3 linked regions of the Rhinolophus ferrumequinum genome follow. The protein of the gene in region 1 interacts with the protein of each later gene in a pairwise test. Links are inferred from orthologs where the notes say so. Each region holds a gene or a part of one and is shown in the gene's direction. Other genes may lie near its edges.

The links. The genes of interacting proteins can lie anywhere in the genome.
Region 2: the proteins of EMILIN1 (region 1) and BEX5 interact in binary tests that used the Homo sapiens proteins (3 or more experiments, as listed by UniProt). The two-hybrid records come from large-scale screens. The link is inferred for Rhinolophus ferrumequinum from reciprocal best matches to the Homo sapiens genes EMILIN1 and BEX5.
Region 3: the proteins of EMILIN1 (region 1) and BEX3 interact in binary tests that used the Homo sapiens proteins (3 or more experiments, as listed by UniProt). The two-hybrid records come from large-scale screens. The link is inferred for Rhinolophus ferrumequinum from reciprocal best matches to the Homo sapiens genes EMILIN1 and BEX3.

The regions. Positions count from the first base shown.
Region 1 is NC_046296.1:53,566,686-53,573,937, reverse strand, and holds the start of EMILIN1 (EMILIN-1), read left to right. Parts: upstream 1-4,220; 5' UTR 4,221-4,641; coding exon 4,642-4,811; intron 4,812-5,771; coding exon 5,772-5,897; intron 5,898-6,368; coding exon 6,369-6,589; intron 6,590-7,252. UniProt on the Homo sapiens protein: Involved in elastic and collagen fibers formation. It is required for EFEMP2 deposition into the extracellular matrix, and collagen network assembly and cross-linking via protein-lysine 6-oxidase/LOX activity.
Region 2 is NC_046284.1:52,322,597-52,328,512, forward strand, and holds BEX5 (protein BEX5), read left to right. Parts: upstream 1-4,801; 5' UTR 4,802-4,830; coding exon 4,831-5,169; 3' UTR 5,170-5,374; downstream 5,375-5,916.
Region 3 is NC_046284.1:51,631,243-51,638,235, reverse strand, and holds BEX3 (protein BEX3), read left to right. Parts: upstream 1-4,756; 5' UTR 4,757-5,031; intron 5,032-5,416; 5' UTR 5,417-5,494; intron 5,495-5,851; 5' UTR 5,852-5,872; coding exon 5,873-6,211; 3' UTR 6,212-6,451; downstream 6,452-6,993. UniProt on the Homo sapiens protein: May be a signaling adapter molecule involved in NGFR/p75NTR-mediated apoptosis induced by NGF. Plays a role in zinc-triggered neuronal death.

The DNA.
Region 1 (7,252 bases):
TATTTTCAAGGAAAAAATAGGAGGTTAGTGTTAGACTCAGGAGTGAAAAAGCAACAAAACCTAGAAAAAGGGGACTGGACCCTGAGTCCAGGGAGGTTGACACCTAAAGTATTGTACCTATCAGAAGGGTTGAAAGGGAAAGGAAATGTATACATTTGAGGACGGGTGGACTTTTGCTCGAGAGTCCCCACAAGCTCGAATTCGCATCTGGGTTTGTATGATCCGAAGGCCCAATTCACATTTTTCCCTCCCAATATTCAGTCCTCTGATAGTATTGACATAAAATGTCCTTACTACTAGTGCCCTGGGTGTTCTGGCCCTGGGATATGAGCTCGTTGCTCAGCCAGTGATGGTTGACTGAACGAGTTAGTTTGCCTAGTATAGCCAAGATTTCCCATTGATACTACCTTGGAAAGCCCCCATCTTGGAGAGGTTATAAAATAGATATTGTCTTAGTGCCCCAGGACTTAGCCTATTTTGATCTCAGGAATTCTCTTGCCAGTTGCTTTGGAAATGTGTGGCTATCTGCCAGTACCACCACTGCAGCCACCACTGTATTCTCTCTAAACCTAGTCTCCATTGCAGCCTGCTTGCCCAACACCTCAGGCCTCCCCAGTGAACCCTGGAATTGTTCTCCCCGGTGAACCCAGAGCCACTGATTTATCAGATCTCACAGACATGTCAGCCTCTAGGTCTTGGCTCCTAATTACAAGACTAAATGAAATGCAACCTACTGCAATTGTATTTCAAAGACAACATTTTGACTCGACACACTTAAAACACAACCAATTTTTACACTTAAGGGGACAGGCGAAGGAATGGGTGACACTGGGCAGTGACAAGATGGCTGGGAAGAATTTTTAGGTTGCCAGAGGCCCCATGAAGGGAGAGAAAAGGGGGAAGAGCAGAGAAAGTAAACCTATACCAGTAGCCAGGGCAACTAAGAGGGGGGAAGTGGATTGGCTTCCTGCCAGGGCCAGGGCCTAGAACTCATGCTGAGTGGGGACAAAGCCGCACCCTTCCGGGGACAGCCACTTTGAAATCAGGGTCTCCTAGGACCATTTCCTTCAAATCTGCCTGTGTGCTGATCTCTACACCTCTGAGGGGCAGCCACAAATTTCCATCTCTTGGTTCCAGTGCTTCCTTTCACCATCCTGTCTTTTCACCAACGTGGCTTTCAGCCATCAGGATCATGTTCTGTGCCATAGAACCTCGGGGTGACATTGAAGATTTGGTGGCGTCTGTTATCATGTTTTCCAATCATTGCTCTACAAATGGTTCCCAGAATCAAGACCCACATTTCTAACCACCTCCTGGACATTTATTTCCGTTGAGATGTGTTATTATCTTAAACTCAGTACAGGTGTACCTCAGAGATACTGCAGGTTCAGTTCCAGGCTGCACAATAAAGTGAGTATTGCAATAAAGCGAGTCGTGATCTTTTTGCTAGTGGAGAAAGTAAATTTGTAAAAATGTATATAATTTTTAATTTGTAAAAAAAGGCAACATCTGTGAAGCACAATAAAACAAGATATGCCTGTATATCCAAACTAAGGTCATCTTTCTTTCCTCCAAACCTGCTCCTCTCCTCCACTTACCCATCTGCGTTAGAACCCTGGAATCCTCTCTGGTATCTCTTTCAATCAGGTCCCTCATTACCCAGGCAGTCCCAGCCTTCTCTTCCAGCTCTGCATCTTTGCAATATAGAATTTGGAAGGGCCCTTAGACAACAGGCAACAGACCCCCAGTGGAGTCATGGGATTTGCTCAAAGTGATACCACTACGTTTAGAGGAGGTGCTGGAACTGCTAGCATCCTCGTGCCCTAACACCGTGCCCATTGCTCTTGCCAACAGTGTCTTCTTTCTGTGTGTGTATTAACCCTCTACTCAAAAGCTTGTAACCCAAGCACTTAACCAGTCATCTGAGCCTCTCCCTAATTTTTCCACATTCAACGTCTCTTTTTGTGCCACTTCTTCTTGACACAAATAAGAGCTGACGTGTATTGAGCATTTACCACATACCAAGCACTATTCTAAATGCTTTACATGTATTAACTGAATCCTCAAAAACCTAGGAAGGAGGGTACTGTAAACAAAAATCTGGACATACCTTTTTAAAGAAATGTGAAGAGTTCATTCAGGTAATGGTTTGCAAACTAGGAAATGTAGTCCTTGGTATGAAAAGAAAATATGCTCCAAAATGAAGGGGACAGGGCAGGGTTATAAAGGCAAAAGTTGCAAGGAACTAATGTGATCAAAGAGATGGGTTGCTAGGGGAAACAAGATCATAAACTTACCTCATTTGTTTTCTGATTGGTGGGGGGGCAAACTGAACTTTCTGTAGTTGACTGACTCAGTGATTGAGCAAGTGGAGTTGTGAAGTGAGAACAGTGGGTAATGTATGATTAAGCATTCATCACGTCTTAGTTTCAGTCCAGGCCTGTAGAGCAAAAAGACTGTCTTTGCTCACATAATTATATTAGGTTGGTGCAAAAGTAATTGCGGTTTAAAAGGTTAATTGCAAAAACCGCAATTACTTTTGCACCAACCTAATAGTACTGGGAGTATTATTTAACAGCGACACAAGGAGTACAATTTATTTAACAGCACAATCAGCACTGGGGGACTGCTCGCTCTGCAGGCAGTTTCAGAGCCCAAAAGGGCAGCTTCAGAGCTCAAGCTGCAAAAATCCAAATTTGGGGCCACCAGTTATGATACCAAAGTTGTTTTAAGTCTTCAGTTCTATCATTAGTCCCACGTTACAGAAAAGGAAACTGAAGCAGACCACATTCCCCAACCTGAAATTTCTCCCCTCAACTGTCTCTCTCTTTTTTTTTTACACCCCTCTCCCCTCACTGTCTCTATTCTTCAATTTTTACCCCCAACGCCATTCAAGTTGTACCTTTTTCAACAGCTTTTCTCTCTCTCCCCCAGCAGCCAGCTGTCTTTGTCCTTCTCTTACCCAGAACACACCTCATCCACAAATGTCTGGATGAACACTCCACAAATGTCTGGCCCCCTTGGCACTCTGTCTATCCTGCTTTGTGTTTGTTTTCTGTTCTGGACCTTGTGTCCCATTCCCCAACAGCCCCAGCTGCTCCTCACTGAGTCTTACAGTTGCCTGTGCTACCTGGGTGCCTCCATAGTGCTTGGCACACAGCGCTCTCATCTAGTACTTCCACTTCATTCTCACAAGCAAGCATCTCACCACACAGGGAGACCTGGTCCAGAACACAACGCTGAGGGCCAGGTGGTGAAGAGGGGCAGCTGACAGATTCAGACATCTCAGGAAGAGCTGTCGGGTCAGGCCGATGGTTGAGTTTGACTGAGTTCCTTGCCTGCTACGGAGGTTATCAGACTTGCCTTCAGGCTAGGGAGTGACTTCCTTTTCTATATAGATAGGGCCCTATTTTCTATATAGATACCTCCCTCCCCTCCCCAACTTAAGGCCTGACACTCACTAAGACAAGCCTGGGACCCATATTCATTTGGCCTTTTAAAAGGCTCCCTCCTCTGCTCCCCCTTCTCCAGATTCCTTTCTTCCTTTTCTGGCGTCTCTGAATTTCCTGCCTGCCTCAGTGGAGTCCTTTTCCTTCTACTTGACCCAGTAGCCCTCTCTCCTATCCGCCTTCTTTCTCTCAAGTCATGACCTAGGTATTTAGATTCTAGTCTCAGCCCTGCTGTTGATCTGCTGTGTTACCTTGAACAAGTTACTCTCCTTCTCTGGGCCTCAATTTTCATATCTATAAAAAGGAGAGAGCTGGACTGGTTGTGAGTGATGTCCTGCGGAGCCCTCCAAGCCTGTTCTCCTATTACAGTCCTCCCTCCTCCTGTCCCCTCCAGGCCCCTCTCTCAGGTCTATCCCAGGGGAGGCCTGCCCTAGCCCCAGGAGAGCTGTGGCTCCAGCTCCTGTTCCCCGGTTCCCCGTCTAAGCAGCCAGCCCTGGGCCTCCTCCCCAGCCCTGGCCCCGGCTCTGCTCCATGTGGCCCGTCTGAGAGGCTGGCCCTAAGCCCGGCGGCAACTCCACATTTCTCTGTTTTTCCTTTTTTTTTTCCCCTCTTTTTCCCGGAGTTAACAAGAAGCAGATGTGGCGCACGATGGTTGGAGAGGTGGGGGGAGGAAGGGGGAGGCTGGACCGCCAGCCAGACAGGGGGGAAGGGAGGGGAGTAAGCAAGAGAGAGAGGCGGGAGGCCAGGGCCCGCCCCACACAGCCACTCTAGCGCCTCTGGACAGCCACAGGGGTAAAGTCCTGTCACCCCCAGGATCCGGTCATTGGGGAAAACAGATAGGGGACCAGAGGAGGGCCAGCTGGGGCAAGGGGGCGGAGGCCCAGGAAGCAGCATCTGAGAGGGGCAGGGACCAGGCACAGGAGGCCGGGGGCACTGAGAACAAACTCCCCTCAGAGGTGGAGAAGAGGAGAGCGGAAGGAACGAAGGGAAGAACAGACGGGAGCCTGAGGAGGAAAGAGGAGGGGGAGAGAGGTCAGGCCAGGAGGCCAAGGAGGAGGCGAGTGGCTGGGGGCTGCCAGCAGGAAGCTGGGGACAGGACCCAACTTGGAGCAGCGGGCATCCCCACTCCAAGCAGAGGCGCCAGTGGTCAGGCGGGATGTGCCTCTGAGGGCCACAGCGGAGCACCCCCACCATGGCCCCCAGGAACCTCTGGAGCTGCTATCTCTGCTGCCTGCTGACCACAGCTGTGGCGGCAGCTAGCTACCCTCCTCGTGGTTACAGCCTCTACATGGGGAATGGCGGGGCCCTCAGCCCTGGTGGGCCCCAGGCCCAGAGTGCCCCCCGGCCTGCCAGCCGCCACAGGTAAGAATCTGGGTCCCAGCCCTACGCTGGAGGTAGGTGGGAGGGTGGGTCAGAAGGTGGGTATCCTGGCCCTGCCCCACTTTGGCTACCCTCTCCTGGGCTGTATCGCCAATGCAGGGAAGAACGGGAGAGGAAACCCATCCATCAGATGGCTCCTCACACGCCCACCTTCCTGCCGGGTGTTTCCAGGGCCCCCCTGCATAGATGGGTCCCATCAAACCTCATAGGATCGGCTCTCACGTCCTCCCCATGGGACGTGCCGTTAGGTGCCCAGGGAAACTACCCTGAGGGACGTGGGCCAGGCCTTCCGGCCAGCTGTGTGCCAGCCTGGGATCCTCGGGCAGACCTTTTATTTCTGTGTAGGGCTTCCTCGGCCCATCTAGTAATCCATGATTTTAACACCACTCCTGCTCTGCTCCCTTCGGGTCTCCAGCCGGACACAGATCAGAGGCCAGCATGAATGGGGCCAAGAGTGCAGAACTGCAAACCCCATGGGGGACAGGGCTCATCAATGGCTTATTCTCTGCTTAACCTTGAGCTGGACCCCTGCCTGCCCAGTCCTCTCCCCTGCGGGGCGGGTGGAAGCCAGCATCCAAAGAATCACCAGAGGGCCCCCGCCAGCCGGCTCATACAGGCCACGCCAAGCTGGGGATTCAGACAGCGAAACGAATGAATGTGTGAATTCAGAGCCTCTCCAGGACCCCCTCCCCAGCCATGTATCAACTTTTTGTAGTTGTGGTTTTCCATTCTGTGCCTCTTCTCCTGTCTTGAAAAGTCTTTATTGACTCCGTCCCGTACAGGAAGGCGTGGGGGGAGCTGCCCCGGCCAATGCCCTGGCTCCCACTGGTCCCCAGGGGCCCTTCATCTTTTGACCCTCCCTCAGCCCTTCTGGTAGCCTCAGTGCCCTGCTCTGGGGCGTGTGTCTCTGGCCCTCGGGCCCAGGTGAGGTTGTGCCTGCAGGAACTGGTGTGCCTACGTGGTGACTCGGACAGTGAGCTGTGTCCTTGAGGATGGAGTGGAGACCTTCATCAAGCGCGAGATCCCGGCCTGTGGCTGGGGCCAGCCCCAGTGTCACCGCAGCATGATGTGAGCCCCGGCGCTGGGGAATGGGTAGTTGGAGGGGGCTGGGCTAGGACGGAAGGCGACCAGCCAACTCAGGGAATTTGTACAAAGCAGGTAATTGTGGCAAGGGGCAGGACCAGGGGTTTCAGTCGGAGCCATTTTGAGAAGATGCCGAGGCAACATTTTGGTGGGATATTGAGGACACACTTACCAAGACTACCCTGCCAGCCCCCGAATGCCATCTCCTTGCTGGGTCATGCTCAAGGAGAGGAGTTCAAGGTTCCAGCACAGCACAAGGGGAGAAAGAATAGGGATTTGGCCCTTGGCCAGCAAGCTGACAGCTGTCAATGGAGCCAGGCCGCATGCTGGACAGTAAGGGTGGCCCAGCCTGAGGGACAGGTCTTGCCCACCAGCAGCTGCCCATCTCTGAGGACAGGGGCCAGGGTCACTGACCGTACAGGGAAGAGTAAAGAGCCCTCCCTCTACCTCTCCCAGGTACCGCAGCTTCCTCCGCCCTCGCTACCGCGTGGCCTACAAAACAGTGACGGATATGGAGTGGAGGTGCTGTCAGGGGTACGGGGGTGATGCCTGTGCCGAGAGTCCTGCCCCAGCGCTGGGTCCTGCACCGACCACACCACGCCCCCGGCCCCGGCCCGGCCGCCCCAACCTCTCAGGTTCCAGTGCGGGCAGCCACCTGAGTGGACTAGGGGGGGAAGGTGAGTATGGGAGCCCTGGGGAGAGAAGTGGGAGATGGGATTGGGTGGAAAATGTGGTCAGGATGTTGAGGGAAAACCCCATGCTCCAAGTCAGAAAAACAGGGGCAGAAGGGAGTTAATGAGATCCCTGAGATTCCCTGTCCGTGCATACATGCGCGCACGCGTGCGTGCCTGCGTGCGTGTGTGTGTGTGTGTGTGTGTGTGTGTGTAACAGATTAAGAGACCAAGAGAAAAAGGCAGAGAAAGTGAATGTGCTCACGCACGCCCACATGTGGCCAACATACTTCCTAGTTGGGAACAGCTGCGGGAGGAAGGGGGAATTCCTTCGAGAAGCTTGGTCCAAAGGGGTAGACAGTTGAGACTACAAGTCCTAGCATGCACTGCAACCGACTACAGGTCCCAGGCCTCTCGGTGGCCTCTGGAGACGGCAGGTCCCAGAATGCAGCAGTTCCTGTTGCTTTCCCATGTGTGTGCTGGGCGCTGCGGATGTGCTGTGTTTGCCTGCCAGAGAGATAACCATGATGTAATTATAGAAACAGGAACTTCTGGCCAACTCTCCCCGCATCCAGCCAGAGCCCCCGCAGGCTTGCCACGGAACCTTGTTTGTCCCGTGGTGTTGCAGAGAGGTGCTGTTCAGGAATAGCCACTGTCATGCAGTCCACA
Region 2 (5,916 bases), on another chromosome or scaffold:
TGCTATTCAGCAATGAGGTATTGTGGGGACAGAGCCAGTAGTGCAGTTTCCAGGCTCTCCGCCACACGTGGAAAGGTGCTGGCTCGGGTAGTAAATGGCCATCAACTGTGATTGGATGGCCATCAGCTGTGGCTAGTTGGCCGTCAGCTGTAACCAGTGAGCCATTGGCCACTAATATAACTGCCATGGCTACGCTAGCAGAAAATGGGGGCTAGCAAGAAGATGGTGGCTGGCAAGCACGTAGTGTGGCAGAGTGTGGATTGCGGATCATGTGGCTCCTGCCTCCTGTGTCTCCAACCCAGCAGCCAGCAAGAACTATAGTGTTATGACTCCCCTATCTATGGCTCCGTGGGTGTTCCTTTTTGGCCTCACCATGTCCTGCATTCTTATGTGGGGAGCGGGACCAGAGACCCCGCAAGCCACCTCGCATGACAGGTATGTAGCACTTTTTGTAGGATAAGTTTGTGAACTTAATTGTCTGATTTTGTATAACAATGACAGTTCTAGGAATTTAATACTCTCATGTTATGTATATAAAAAATACAGCTATGTACAATTAATTTCATTCAACACTCTCATACTTAAAACTATAAACATTCCAAATGTCCATAAATATGGAAATAGATATGTGTATTATCTTTATTTTAAAGGAAAATATTTGGACTGACTTAGAGTAAAATCTGAATAGTATATTTCTTCAGGTAAGGATAAAGCTGATATTTTTCTTCTACTTTATCTGTTTTTTTCTAATTTTACTGCAGGCTCTTTCTGATACCTTGGGAACTTGCTCAGCCCAGACTTAGGACAACTCAGAAGTGCCAGAGATTTTAACATTCCCAGGATGACATCCACCAATAAATGACCCGCACCTGTGGATAAATACTACACATTCCTATCACTAATTGGGATAATTCTACATGGGTCCTTAGACTTAGAGGGTCCCCAGCAGAATTGGGCCAGTTGCCTTTTGGGCATGTCTGTCTCTGGTGCTATATTTTTAACAAAATTTTTCATCCTAATAGTATATAAAAAATAACTGTGGGGACAGAGTCCCAGAGAGCAGTTTCCAGGCCTCACGTGGAAAGGTGCTGGCTCGGGTAGTAGATGGCCGTCAGCTGTGTCTAGTTGGCCATCAGCTGTAACCAGTTAGCCATTACCCACTGATATAACTGCCATGGCTGAGCTAGCAAATGCAGATTGCAGTTAGCAAGTGAGGTTCGTTGGCAGAGAAGTGGATGGCAGGCTGCAGATCACATGGCTCCTGCTCCCTGTATCTCCAACCCAGCCGCCAGCGAGAATATAGTGGTATTAAACCCCCCATCCGTGGCTCCATTGGTGTTCCTTTTTGGCCTTGTCATACCCTGCATTCTTATGCGGGGAGCGGGACCAGAGACCCTGCACGACACCCGGCATGACAATAACATTTATTATATACTCTTTTCAATGTTTTTATGTCTTTTTATCTGAACATTTAGTGTCCGTATGTAAGTGTACAATAAAAATAGGCACTTCATTATTTTTTCCAAATAGATAATCAATTATCCCAGCACCATTTCTTCAGCAATATAAACTCTCCCCACTGATTCAAAATATTTCAATCAGATTACTAATATTTCTCTCTATTTGGGTTTGACAATTGGCTTTTTCATCTGTTTCATTTTTTTCTATATTTATTACGCATATTTTTTAATATTGTAGCTTCACAATATTTTTTTATCTGTCAGCATAACTTTCTCAAATCATTGTTGTGGGGACAGAGCCCCAAAAAGCAGTTTCTAGGCTCTCAGCCTCACATAGAAAGGTGCTGGCTCAGGTAGTAAATGGCCATCGACTGCGATCAAATGGCCATCAGCTGTGGCTAGTTGGCCGTCAGCTGTAACCAGCGAGCCACTGGGCACTAATATAACTGCTGTGGCTACGCTAGCAGAAATTGGGGGCTAGCAAGAAGATGGTGGCTGAGCCTGCAAGCGGCGCAGTGAGGGTTGAGAATTGTGTGGCTCCTGTTTCCTGTGTCTCCAACCCAGCCGCCAGCGAGAGTATAGTGGTATGAGTCCCCTACCTTTGGCTCCGTGGGTGTTCCTTTTTGGCCTCACCATGTGCTGCGTTCTTGTATGGGGAGCGGGAGCAGAGACCTTGCAGGCCGCCCCTCATGACAATTGTTCTGAATTGTTGGAAGACCTCAGCATTGCTCTATTTTAGAGGCTATGCTAGAGTCTAGTTGTCAAGTTGCACTAATAAAATTTAGAGGAAACCCTAAGTTTGTCACAGGCTCTCAAGATCTGAAAACCCACTACCAAGTCTCTACTAGACTCCTGCCTCACTTCACAGAAAGACCACATACAGACCCTTCATAAAGGGGAACCATCAGCTTAGGTTTATATTTCAAAGCCCTTAAAAGGGGGAACTGGTGCTGTCTAGAGGATCTATGTTTATAGGATGAGTCAGCAGCAAAAACAGGTTGCCAAGGTTTTACAACTCGAATCCTATTTTTTAACTGAAAATAATTGTATTGTCTAATTATAACAAGCAAAACATGAATGCACGTCGATAGGAAACAAACAACAATCACCCCTTCAAAAAAATAAATAAACAAAAAGGGAAATAATTAAGGTGAACTTTTTTGTAAAGTCACTTCCTACCTATTTTTCCAGACTTCCTAGCCTCACCTCCCTTCCCTGCTCCGGTTTCAGTCTGGGACAAAACCAAAAAGTCTGTGAGGAGAAATTCAGGACTTTACTTCCTGTTGAATGGAGGGGAGAGAAGTGGGCGTTTAATGGTATAGAAGAGAAAGAAGCAATTCTTTAAAAGCTCTAACAGAAATTAGGGGAAAGGGTAAACACAAATTACAAAAGTTATTGCCCGTTTAGTCTCGAAAATTACTAAATGGCGAGGGCGGGGGGGGGGGGGAATAATAAGGGGTGGGCCGTAGCCTGCGGTAGGGATGGGGAGATAGCGAGAATGAGGAGTAAGGTGGTCCCGCCCACGCTCCCGCCCCCAGCACCTAGCCGCACTGCAGATATGATCGGTAATTGTGATCTGAGCTCACAGTGACACAGTCCTTATGAGACCTAGAACTAACGCGGATTAGTCTTTCCTTCCAGTTGCGGTCTAAGAGTCTTTTGTGGCTGTGCGCTGGCTCACTATTGCCTTGAAAGCAGGCAAGCCGGTAGCCCTGAGGAGGAGGAAGTACAAGCTGACTCCGATCCGTGGCAGGTTCGTGGACACTAACCGAGGTGACAGAGGGCAAAACCAGGGCGGGTCCAGGAATGGATTCTTTCTACCCCTTCCCCAGATACCTACCCGTTTGGTGCAAGAAATGGAGGGCTTGATGGGAGGAGATCGAGAGGGGCCAAGAGTTGAGAATGGGAACCATTTCGGAGCTACTAGGAGGTGGGCGATTGGGCGATGTCTGGAAGGGAAGAACCAGAGAAGGACGGGGAGGAATCAGGAGGGGGACGCAACCGGTGACTCTTGGGGCTGACGAGCTTCGCAACTGGTTGGGGCGGAATTCCGCAACCGGTCTAGGCGTTCATTCCCAGTATCTCTTCACCCTCCGTCCTTTTTGGAGCCAGAAATTGTGGGCTGTGGGAATGAGGCGGGGAGTGGGAGTGGTGGTTGCTGCAGAGGATAGGGAAAGGGATTAGGCTTGGAAAACAGGTCCCTTTTGCGGAGGAGGCTATTGAGTGAACGGGCTTCTAACTGAGGAATATAGGCAGAGAGCTAGAAACTGTTTCTGGACCCTGCAGGTCGTGTATGCCTGGGTGCTGCTTGCAGACCGTGGGGTAGGCATGACAAATCGCTGTTAACCGCAGCGGGTCCGTGATTGCAATGCCCATATTACCTGTTCACCCTTCGTCCATCTTGATACATAAAATGATGGGCAATGGAAGAAAGGTGGGCTCGAAAAAGGCCACTGGGTCCCAAAAGGTCCTAGGGGATACCCAGATTGACATGCTTTATAAATAAACCACATCGCTACCCAGTAAGCTCTTCTGACAACCCCGCCCCAAAAGTTGTCCGTTTGTGTTCAAGAAATGGTAATTAGGTGACAGGAGGGACGGAAGAGTGGGGTAAGGGACCTAAAGAAGAGGTGAGATTGGTTTGGAAATAATAATATTTGATTACAATGCCTATTTCTGGACGGCGGGGTAGTGCATTACAGGGTAAGAAAAGAAGCCGTGAAACCAGATGGAGGAGAAAGAGATGGTGGCAATATTTGACTAGCAGAGTCCTAAATAAACAATGAAGCTGGTGCTTCCCACCCCATATTGTCCTTTAATCAAGGGATCAGTCCTGGCCATTGTCATATTTCTGTCTGCAGGTGTTGAGATCCGTTGGTGCAGCAGATTTCAAGGCTAAGAGAGGAACAGTGCTTCTGATCTCTGTAGGTAGGAGGGTGCCTGGGGTCCTGTGGTGTAGAGGGTATCAGGGATCAGAACAGGATCTGGGGGACTCAGCCCTCCCTGCTCTACTTAAGTGCATGAGAAACCTGGCCAAGTCTTTAGAAATTAGGCCTGTGTCTGGTGAGCAAAGAAGGGAGTAGAAGGGCAAGGTCTGGGGTGCCCCTGGAGGGCTTCTCAGGATCCCTGGTCTCTCAACCACTGTCCCTCCCACCACTTGTCGTAGGTTTTGTGTGAGTTGTGGTCTAGGGAAGGATTTTCAGGAAAAATGGTGGGCTTTGTGGCAGAGCTGGGTCTGGGGCGCCCCCTAGGGGGTGCATGAAGTCTCTCAGATGGGAAAACCTTCACCCACAGAGCTCTGAATCCTGTTGTTGCATGTATTGAATCCCTTTTCTTGCTTTTTATCTCCTAGGAAGAAGCAGAAAAAAATATGGAAAATAACCCCCAGGAAGTCAAAGGAAGGGAGCAGGCTCCAGTGCAGAATGAAAATGCCTGCCCTTTGGGAGGTGGTGAAGGCCAGGAGCCTGGAGGAAATATTAGAGGGGATTGGGCTCCACCTGCCCAGGATTTTAGAGAGGATATGCCCAACAGGCTTGTCAATAACATTGACATGATAGATGGAGATGCAGATGATATGGAACGGTTCATGGAGGAGATGAGAGAGCTAAGGAGGAAAATTAGAGAACTTCAGTTGAGATACAGTCTGCGCATTCTTATAGGCGATCCCCCGCACCATGACCATCATGATGAGTTTTGCCTTATGCCTTGAATGCTAAGGTTAATAATCATAAATCTCCTGCCTCCCACAATTACATTTTCTTGATGTACTTATTGCTGTGATCCTTTGGTGTTCTGTCATTTTTCTCATTGGAGATTTCATTTTGACTTAGTCTGTAACTTTTTCTGTCAGCAGGGAAGTTTCATCAACTTGCATGGGAAAATGTTTAATAAATATCGTAAATAAAACAGTTTAAAAAGCAGTCTATAGATACACTATCTCATTTACAAGCATGCATATTATATATTAATATGTCAGAATGTGTTTTTTCTTATTTATTTTTCTTTTTTCTATTTTTTTCCTCAAAATGAATACACGTGGATTATATGTATCAGAAAAAAAGTAAGAAGCAAAGAATTTGCCAATCAGCTTATAAAGAGAATGGAGACAATTAAGTACTTGCAACACAATTTAAACACATAAATCTTATATTACCTCTGGATCATTATGAGTATCTCACGGTTTTCTTTTTCACTTATATCCTGGCTATTCTTGTATTTTTTAAAAAACACAAGTATTCTAACAACTTCTTTAATTCCATAAAAATGTTTGCTGATATCTTTGAGATTGTATTAAATTCATACATTGACTGAGGGAGAATTGAAATGTTTTTAATGTTGAGTTGTACCAAACACAATGAATGTTTTTCCTCTTATTGAAGTTTCCTTCTGTGTCCTTCATGAATATTTTAAAATATTTTAATATATGTTCTTATTCAGTTTATTCATATGCATTTAA
Region 3 (6,993 bases), on another chromosome or scaffold:
GCCTGACATTCACCCAGGAGAGTATAATAGAGAAAAATAGGACAATAACTACAATCCAACTGGATGCATTTCCAGCAAATACACGTGAGCTATATCATGGCAACAGGCAAGAAAAAAAAATTCAGTAAAAATGAGCTTCCTCTGATAGGATATTTATCCAATAGGTCTACAGTTTGAGGGATAATTAGTTGAAGTAAAATCACGAAACAGTTTTATTTTTCCAATAACTGCCTTACTAGTGCTAGTTCTATCATTCCCCCACTTTCTAGTGGGTAACGGGCTTATTTACATCTCAGTCTTGTTCCCCAACTTTTCAGTCACTTTTGCTTATTAAAATAAAGCAAAATTGGGCTGTTAAAGATTTGGTTCTTTGTATTTTAAAATGCCAGTCTCAATTTTGATTCAGAGTCCTCCTCATCCTTCTAGGATATCTATCTACTTATCTATATCTATAGATGATAGAGATAGAAAGATAGAAAAGATAGATAGATAGATAGATAGATAGATAGATAGATAGATAGATAGATAGATAGATAGATAAAGGTCTTGGTTCACACAATTATGGAGGCTGGAAAGTCCCACAGTGTGCTGTCTGCAAGCTGGAGAGCCAGGAAAACTGGTGTGTAGTTCAAAGGCCTGAGAACCGGAGAGCTGATGTGTAGACACCAGTCTGTATTAGAATTCCTGGAAATCAGGAATGCCAAGGACAGAAGAAGATCAACATCCCAGCTCAAGTGGTCAGGCAGAGAGCAAATTCAATCTTCCTCTGCTGTTCTGTTCAGGCCCTCAATGGATTGGATGATGCCCCCACACACACATTGGGGAGGGCCACCTGCTTTACTCAGTTCACCAATTCAAATGCTAAGCTCTTCCAGAAACACACTCACAGATGAACCCAGAAATAATGTTTAGCCAGATACATGTATATGGGCATCTCATGGCCTAGTTGACACATAAAATGAACCATCACCCCCTCCTTCCCTGTGTTTACTCAGATGGTTTGAGAATTTGGAGGAAGTGGATAAAAAGACACTCTTTATCTGACTACTTAGGGTAAGATTGCTATCTCCATGTGATTAATCATCACTGTAGCTCAAGTTTGATTTCTATAAAGCCTGCTGATAAAGACTCACACCCAAGCAGCTTCCTTAGGTTTTGCTGGCAGCCTAGAAGGTTGAGCCATATCTTGCATGTGACTCCTAGCTGATGACCCTCACACAACATTCCTGTGAGTCATAGATCTCTTTGCCATATTCTGTAAGTTTCTGGTAAGCCTGTATCTCAACAACTATCTTCTCCCCAGCAACAACTCCAGAGCCTGTAGACATGGTAGGATTTATTTTTCACACCTATCCAGAATTAGGCACTTTGGTAGGGGGTCAACCCCAGTCCTTTCTCCACTTGGCCACACCATCACGTCATCTCTGCAAAATGTTCTTTCCAGGCTCCTATAGCACCTAGGTAGCTCAAAATCCCAGTAGTAATGCAGATATCCCGCAGAGGAATGAGAAGTGAACCTTGCTATCTTGTAGATATCCCTAAACTTTATCTACAATTCTTTTATGATCCTACTCCCTTAGCTTTGAGGAAGGGAACCAATCAAATGCCACCATCTACCATAGTTACAGGAGATAAGGAGAGGGGATAGGTTCTTTTTTACAAATATTGTATTTCCCCAAATGTGAGCCCAGTTTCCTTCTTCCCAGTACTACACTACCCTTCTATTATTTCGGGGTAAGAGTCATCAAACCAGTTCACCCTCTTCCTGTCCTTCAGGGCACATGAGTCCCAAACTAAAACTCTTGTGTCCTTCTAACTTAGCCCTGGACTTCTTTAAAATTTTGTTCTTAACATGTTGTTATCTAGCTCCAACTCCTCAGAAAACTCCAGGGGATAAGAAGAGATCTCAATCAATACCTCATAACATTTTAGTAAAGATAACATTTCCAGGACAATTTTCACCTACCTTTAAAACAGCACTTTCATTATAACCAACCTTCTATATAGCATAACACCTGATCTGGAAAAATATACAAATGTATGCTTTCATCCAAGAATATTTGGTGGTTTCAAACAAAAGACTTGTCCCATATGGGTCAAAAAGACAACAACAACAACAAAAAGACAACAGCAAAACATTTAGCCACTAAAAGAAATAAAAATCCCCTTGCTAAACTTCATATTTAATGGTTATGTCACAGTAGTTTCTCTACCTTAAGGAAATTCTTTCTAGGTGATTCCTAATTTTCATAAAAACTTTACTGTATTACTTTACATACAGCCCCCTGAATGAAAAGTCATTCAGTTGTGGATTCATTCAGTCAACAAATATTCACTAATCACCTGCTTGGTATAAGGAACTCATAGTCACTGGATATGCAAAATAGAACAAAGAAGATGTGTTTTGGGACTTCATGGATTTTAAAGACAAGTTGATCTAGCTAAGGAAAGAATTCCGCTCTGCCTACTCTTCAAATTTTGTTAGAAACCATCTAACATAATGGTAAAAAAAGAAATGAGTTAACTTTTATTGAAAATGTATTAGGTTCTGTGGTAAGTACTTGATATATGTGATTTACTTCTAACAATCCCTGTTTCACAAAGGAAACAGAGATCTTGATAAGTAATTGACCCAAAGTCACACATCAAGTTAGTAGTAGAGACAGGATTTACACCCAGACGTATCTGATTCCAATAGCTTATGTTTCTAATCAGCATCCTTTCAGCCAATATCACTAATACAGCTATCTATATGAAAAGTTGTTAACTGTGAGAAAGAACCCAGGAATCACTAGCATTCTTTTAAAAGAGAATTATTGGGTGCAATTTTGTAATTTGAGCTTTTGGAGCTATATATTAATATATCAATTGTGAACATCAAGAAGGAATATATCTGCTAAGAAGGACTCTTTATGATTAATAGGGCCCAAATTCATAATAAGTGTCTAGCAGCCATTGTTTATAGCGGCCTCTCACACTACGTATCAGGGAAAGCTGCAGACCAAGCTGCCAAGCCTCCTGTACTATGTTCCTCCTGGCAGAGCTGACCCTTATAAAGGAGTTCCCGGAATCATATTTTGATCACTTGCTAAACTTCATGGGCTGAGACCTACCTCATCCAATCGAAGCTGTGCATCTATATCCTCTTTTGCATTTTTACCAACCAATCAGAGCAGCTCCATAATGGCCAATCAGGATGCACAATTTTGACCAATCAGGACAGTGCTATTTGGACCAAACTGTGCAAATTTGGATTCCTTATTTGCACAAAAATGGGACAGTCAGGGACCAGGTCAGGCACTTTTTATATATAAGTGGGCCTCCCCTTTGTCTTGGGGGAGCACAATTTCGGTTTCCACCTGAGGCTGTATTTGCCCGTTTTTACAAACTGTTCACCTGAATAAAGTCTTTCCTTTTACCACAGGCCAAATTGGGGATACCTGTTGGCACTGGATTGGTGACAGTGACCTTTTGGTTGACACCGTATCGCTCTAAAAGCACGTATATAAGACTATACAGAGGGTGCCAAAAAATGTATACACATTTTAAGAAAGGAAAACTGTATTAAAATTGTAATGATATATACCTATAACAAAAGATAGATACAAGTCACATTTGACTTCTGCCGTTATAGGAGGTGCTCAAAGTGGTTACTATCAGTGTCCAGACACTTCTGATTATGGCAAACTACTGCTTGAGCAATGTTGACCAAAGTGTCCACTTGTATACATATTTTTGGCACCCCCGGTATATGCACTAGGCATATATTCTTCCTTTATTCAATGCCTCAGCAAGTTTAGCAGGATAGGGGATTACATAGGCGTTTAGCAGGATAGGGGGTTACATAGGCGTTTGGAGCCAAACCTAGAGGCAGTAAGCATTTGTCTGGCCTGTCTTGCCTCAGAGCACACAACTCTTGGTTCCTTTATCACAACCAACATCTAAGGCAGATGGCTTTGGAACTGACTTCTGCATATTATATACTTAACATCTGAGATCATTCTACGGAGGTATTTGTAGGGATGGTTTGGAGGTTTGGAAAGAAAAGCAGGAAATAAAAAGGCTCCTTTCCTCCAAAGACTGTGGTATCAAAAACATCACCTAAATTTATATAAAATGGCCAAGATCTGACAACTGGACTTCTCCCTAAAGATTTACTTTACAGATCATTTTGAAAACACCCAACTGCATTCAGGAAGATGCCTCCCTTTTCTCAAAATGAAATTTTGAAACAAGGCTGTGTTTTAAAAGTGGTTTGATGTGTGGAGCCAGCGAAAATATTTTCTGTGTGGTACACGTGAACATAATCAGTGAGGCTGCTTCATTCTGCAGGATGAAGCATTTCTTTCCAAAATGAAACTAAGTAATTTTTAATTTTTTGAGGCTAGCTGATTAAAAAAAGAAATTAAGAGAAATTATTGGGAAGGATATATACAACCCGCTCTACCTCCTTGACGCTCTTTCTGACAAGTCCCCAGCTCCCTCCTCACCCTAGCCCTCGTTCTAAATTTCCTAGTAGGGAAAGAATTCAGAGGACAAGATGAGCAATAGTGGCTGTGCTTAGTGCGGGGTATGTGGGGGTGGGGGAGATAGGAAGGTGGCCCGCGAGAAGAGGACACAAAGCAAAACCAAGGCCTGGGGCGCGAAGGGGAGGGGTGGAGGGTGTTGCAGACCCTCCTAGGTAAACAGAGAAGGGCAAACTCCAGCCCCAGGGAGGTGATGCCACTTGTGGGCCCTCAGATTGGAGCGGACTGAGATGAGTGACAGGGAGGTGGGCGCTGAGGCCTCGCGCACAAACAGGCGGAGAGAGTTGTTCTGTGCCTGTGCACGAGGCGAGGAAGGGGGGCCGCGCTCCTGCTACACTGGCTGAGGGAGTTGGGGGGCGAGCTGGTTGGTGACGCGGGGCCCTCACGTGACCGGGAGCTGCAGAGCGACGCAGCCTTCGGTGCAGTCGTCACTCCTGTCTGGGTACCAGCTCCCCGCTGCCCTGCACACGGCGGGCTGGCATCGGGCCCGGGGAAAGCAGAGCAGGTAAGGGCCTGAGGCCGCGCGGAGGCCAGTGCGGCAGCTGCCAGCCAACCCCGGAGGCCGGCGCTGGAGATCAGCGCAGCGGTCCCCGCGGGCTTTCTCCACACCCGGAATTCTTGGGAACATAGTGACCCCCCTCCAGGGGGTGGGGATGCTGAGGCGACAGGGTCCCAGGGAGGGCAGCAGAGCAACTCAGCGATGGAAAATCATCCCCGAGCTTCTGCCGAAAAATGATGAACCCAGTGTGGGGAGTGGCGGCGGGAGACGCGGGGCGGGAGCGGCCGGGGGCATCGGCAGGGGTCGGGGCCGGGAAGGGGCCTGGCGGCGGCGGGTGGACACCCAGCGCTCTACTGCAGCAGCCCCGGGTCCCTACTCCCACTCTCTGCAGGTCTGCGGGTCCAAGTGTTGGGGCTGCGCACTCCGGACGAGAATCGGGAGAAGGCGGAGACAGCAAGGATAGGCCCAGGTGGGTGCGGGGGACTTTGGGGGAAGGGCGGGTGCAGAGCCCAGTCTGAGACATGCCCCTCCCCCCCGAGTTCCCCATGCCCGGTTCCCCGTCTCCCGTCCTCCATTTTGGTGTCTGCTGAGCTCTGGGAAAGAATCTTGGGAAGGGAAAAAATGGTGGGCTTTGGGGGAGGGAGGGAAAAGGAGAGAGCTGGAGGGTGGGGCTCGAGTTGGAGGTCCCCTAGAGGGCGCACAAAGCTCCTAAGGTGAGAAAAAAAAACGAAATTTAAAAAACTTTTGATATCAGGGTTCTGAGTCCTACTGGTCAGTGTACCTAGCATTTAATCTCTCCTTGCCCTTGTCTTACTTGTGTTCAAAGAAAAACAACCAGAAAAAAATCATGGCAAATATCCACCAGGAAATCGAAGAAATGGAGCAGCACATGCAGAATGGAGAGGAAGACCGCCCTTTGGGAGGGGGCGAAGGCCACCAGCCAGCAGGAAATAATAGACGGGGACAGGCTCGCCGACTTGCCCCTAACTTCAGATGGGCCATACCCAATAGGCAGGTCAATGATGGGATGGGTGGAGATGGAGATGATATGGAAATGTTCATGGAAGAGATGAGAGAAATCAGGAGAAAACTTAGGGAGCTGCAGTTGAGGAATTGTCTGCGTATCCTTATGGAGGAGCTCTCTAATCACCATGACCATCATGATGAATTTTGCCTTATGCCTTGACTCTTGCCATTTTCCATGAGATTAATATTCCCACTGTTTTCTTTTTCCTTGCATTTCCTGATATGCCTTTACTGATCCGTTTGCTGTGAACCTTATGTAATTTCCATGTGTCAGGTGGGTTCTGTATTACCAGCTTCTAATTGGAGATTGCCTTGGCACCCAGTCTTAAATTTCTGTCAACAGCAGTTTCACCCATTTGCATGGAAAAAATGTAAAGTTAATAAAGCAATTAAAAAGCAATCTGTACATTTATTGTGTCATTAAAAAACATGTTGAACCCTCTGAAAACTCTGAAATCAAATCCCCCGTGCTGTTGATTGGAACACATTTCTCTGTGGTTGGGTAATCTTGTAACTTTTTTCCCTTTTATTTGGAGTTGTGGAAGCAATAAAAAACAATTTTTCAATGAGTCTATGAATGTAGTACAGGTACATAACAATTACTGATTCTACAAACTTAAAGAAGAGAACTTTTAGTATCTTCCAGCCTCACCTGGAAGAATAAACCCTCCTTTAGTACGGATATAGTCCTTTAAAGAGATGGTCTTCTTTGCTGTAAAATGGAGAATAATACTTGCCTTAAATGGCTGCTGAGTGGAATAGATGAGGTGTGGAACTCTGTTGAGCTGCCTCCAGTGCAATTCCCCAGCATTTAACAGGACCCTGGTCCTCATCAGGTACGTGAGAAGGACTAAAGGGAGTTTTCACACATGCTCACAAGTCCAGAGGGCAAAAATAGGTGGGTTCCATCCACCTTGTCATTCCTCATATTTGCAATACTCC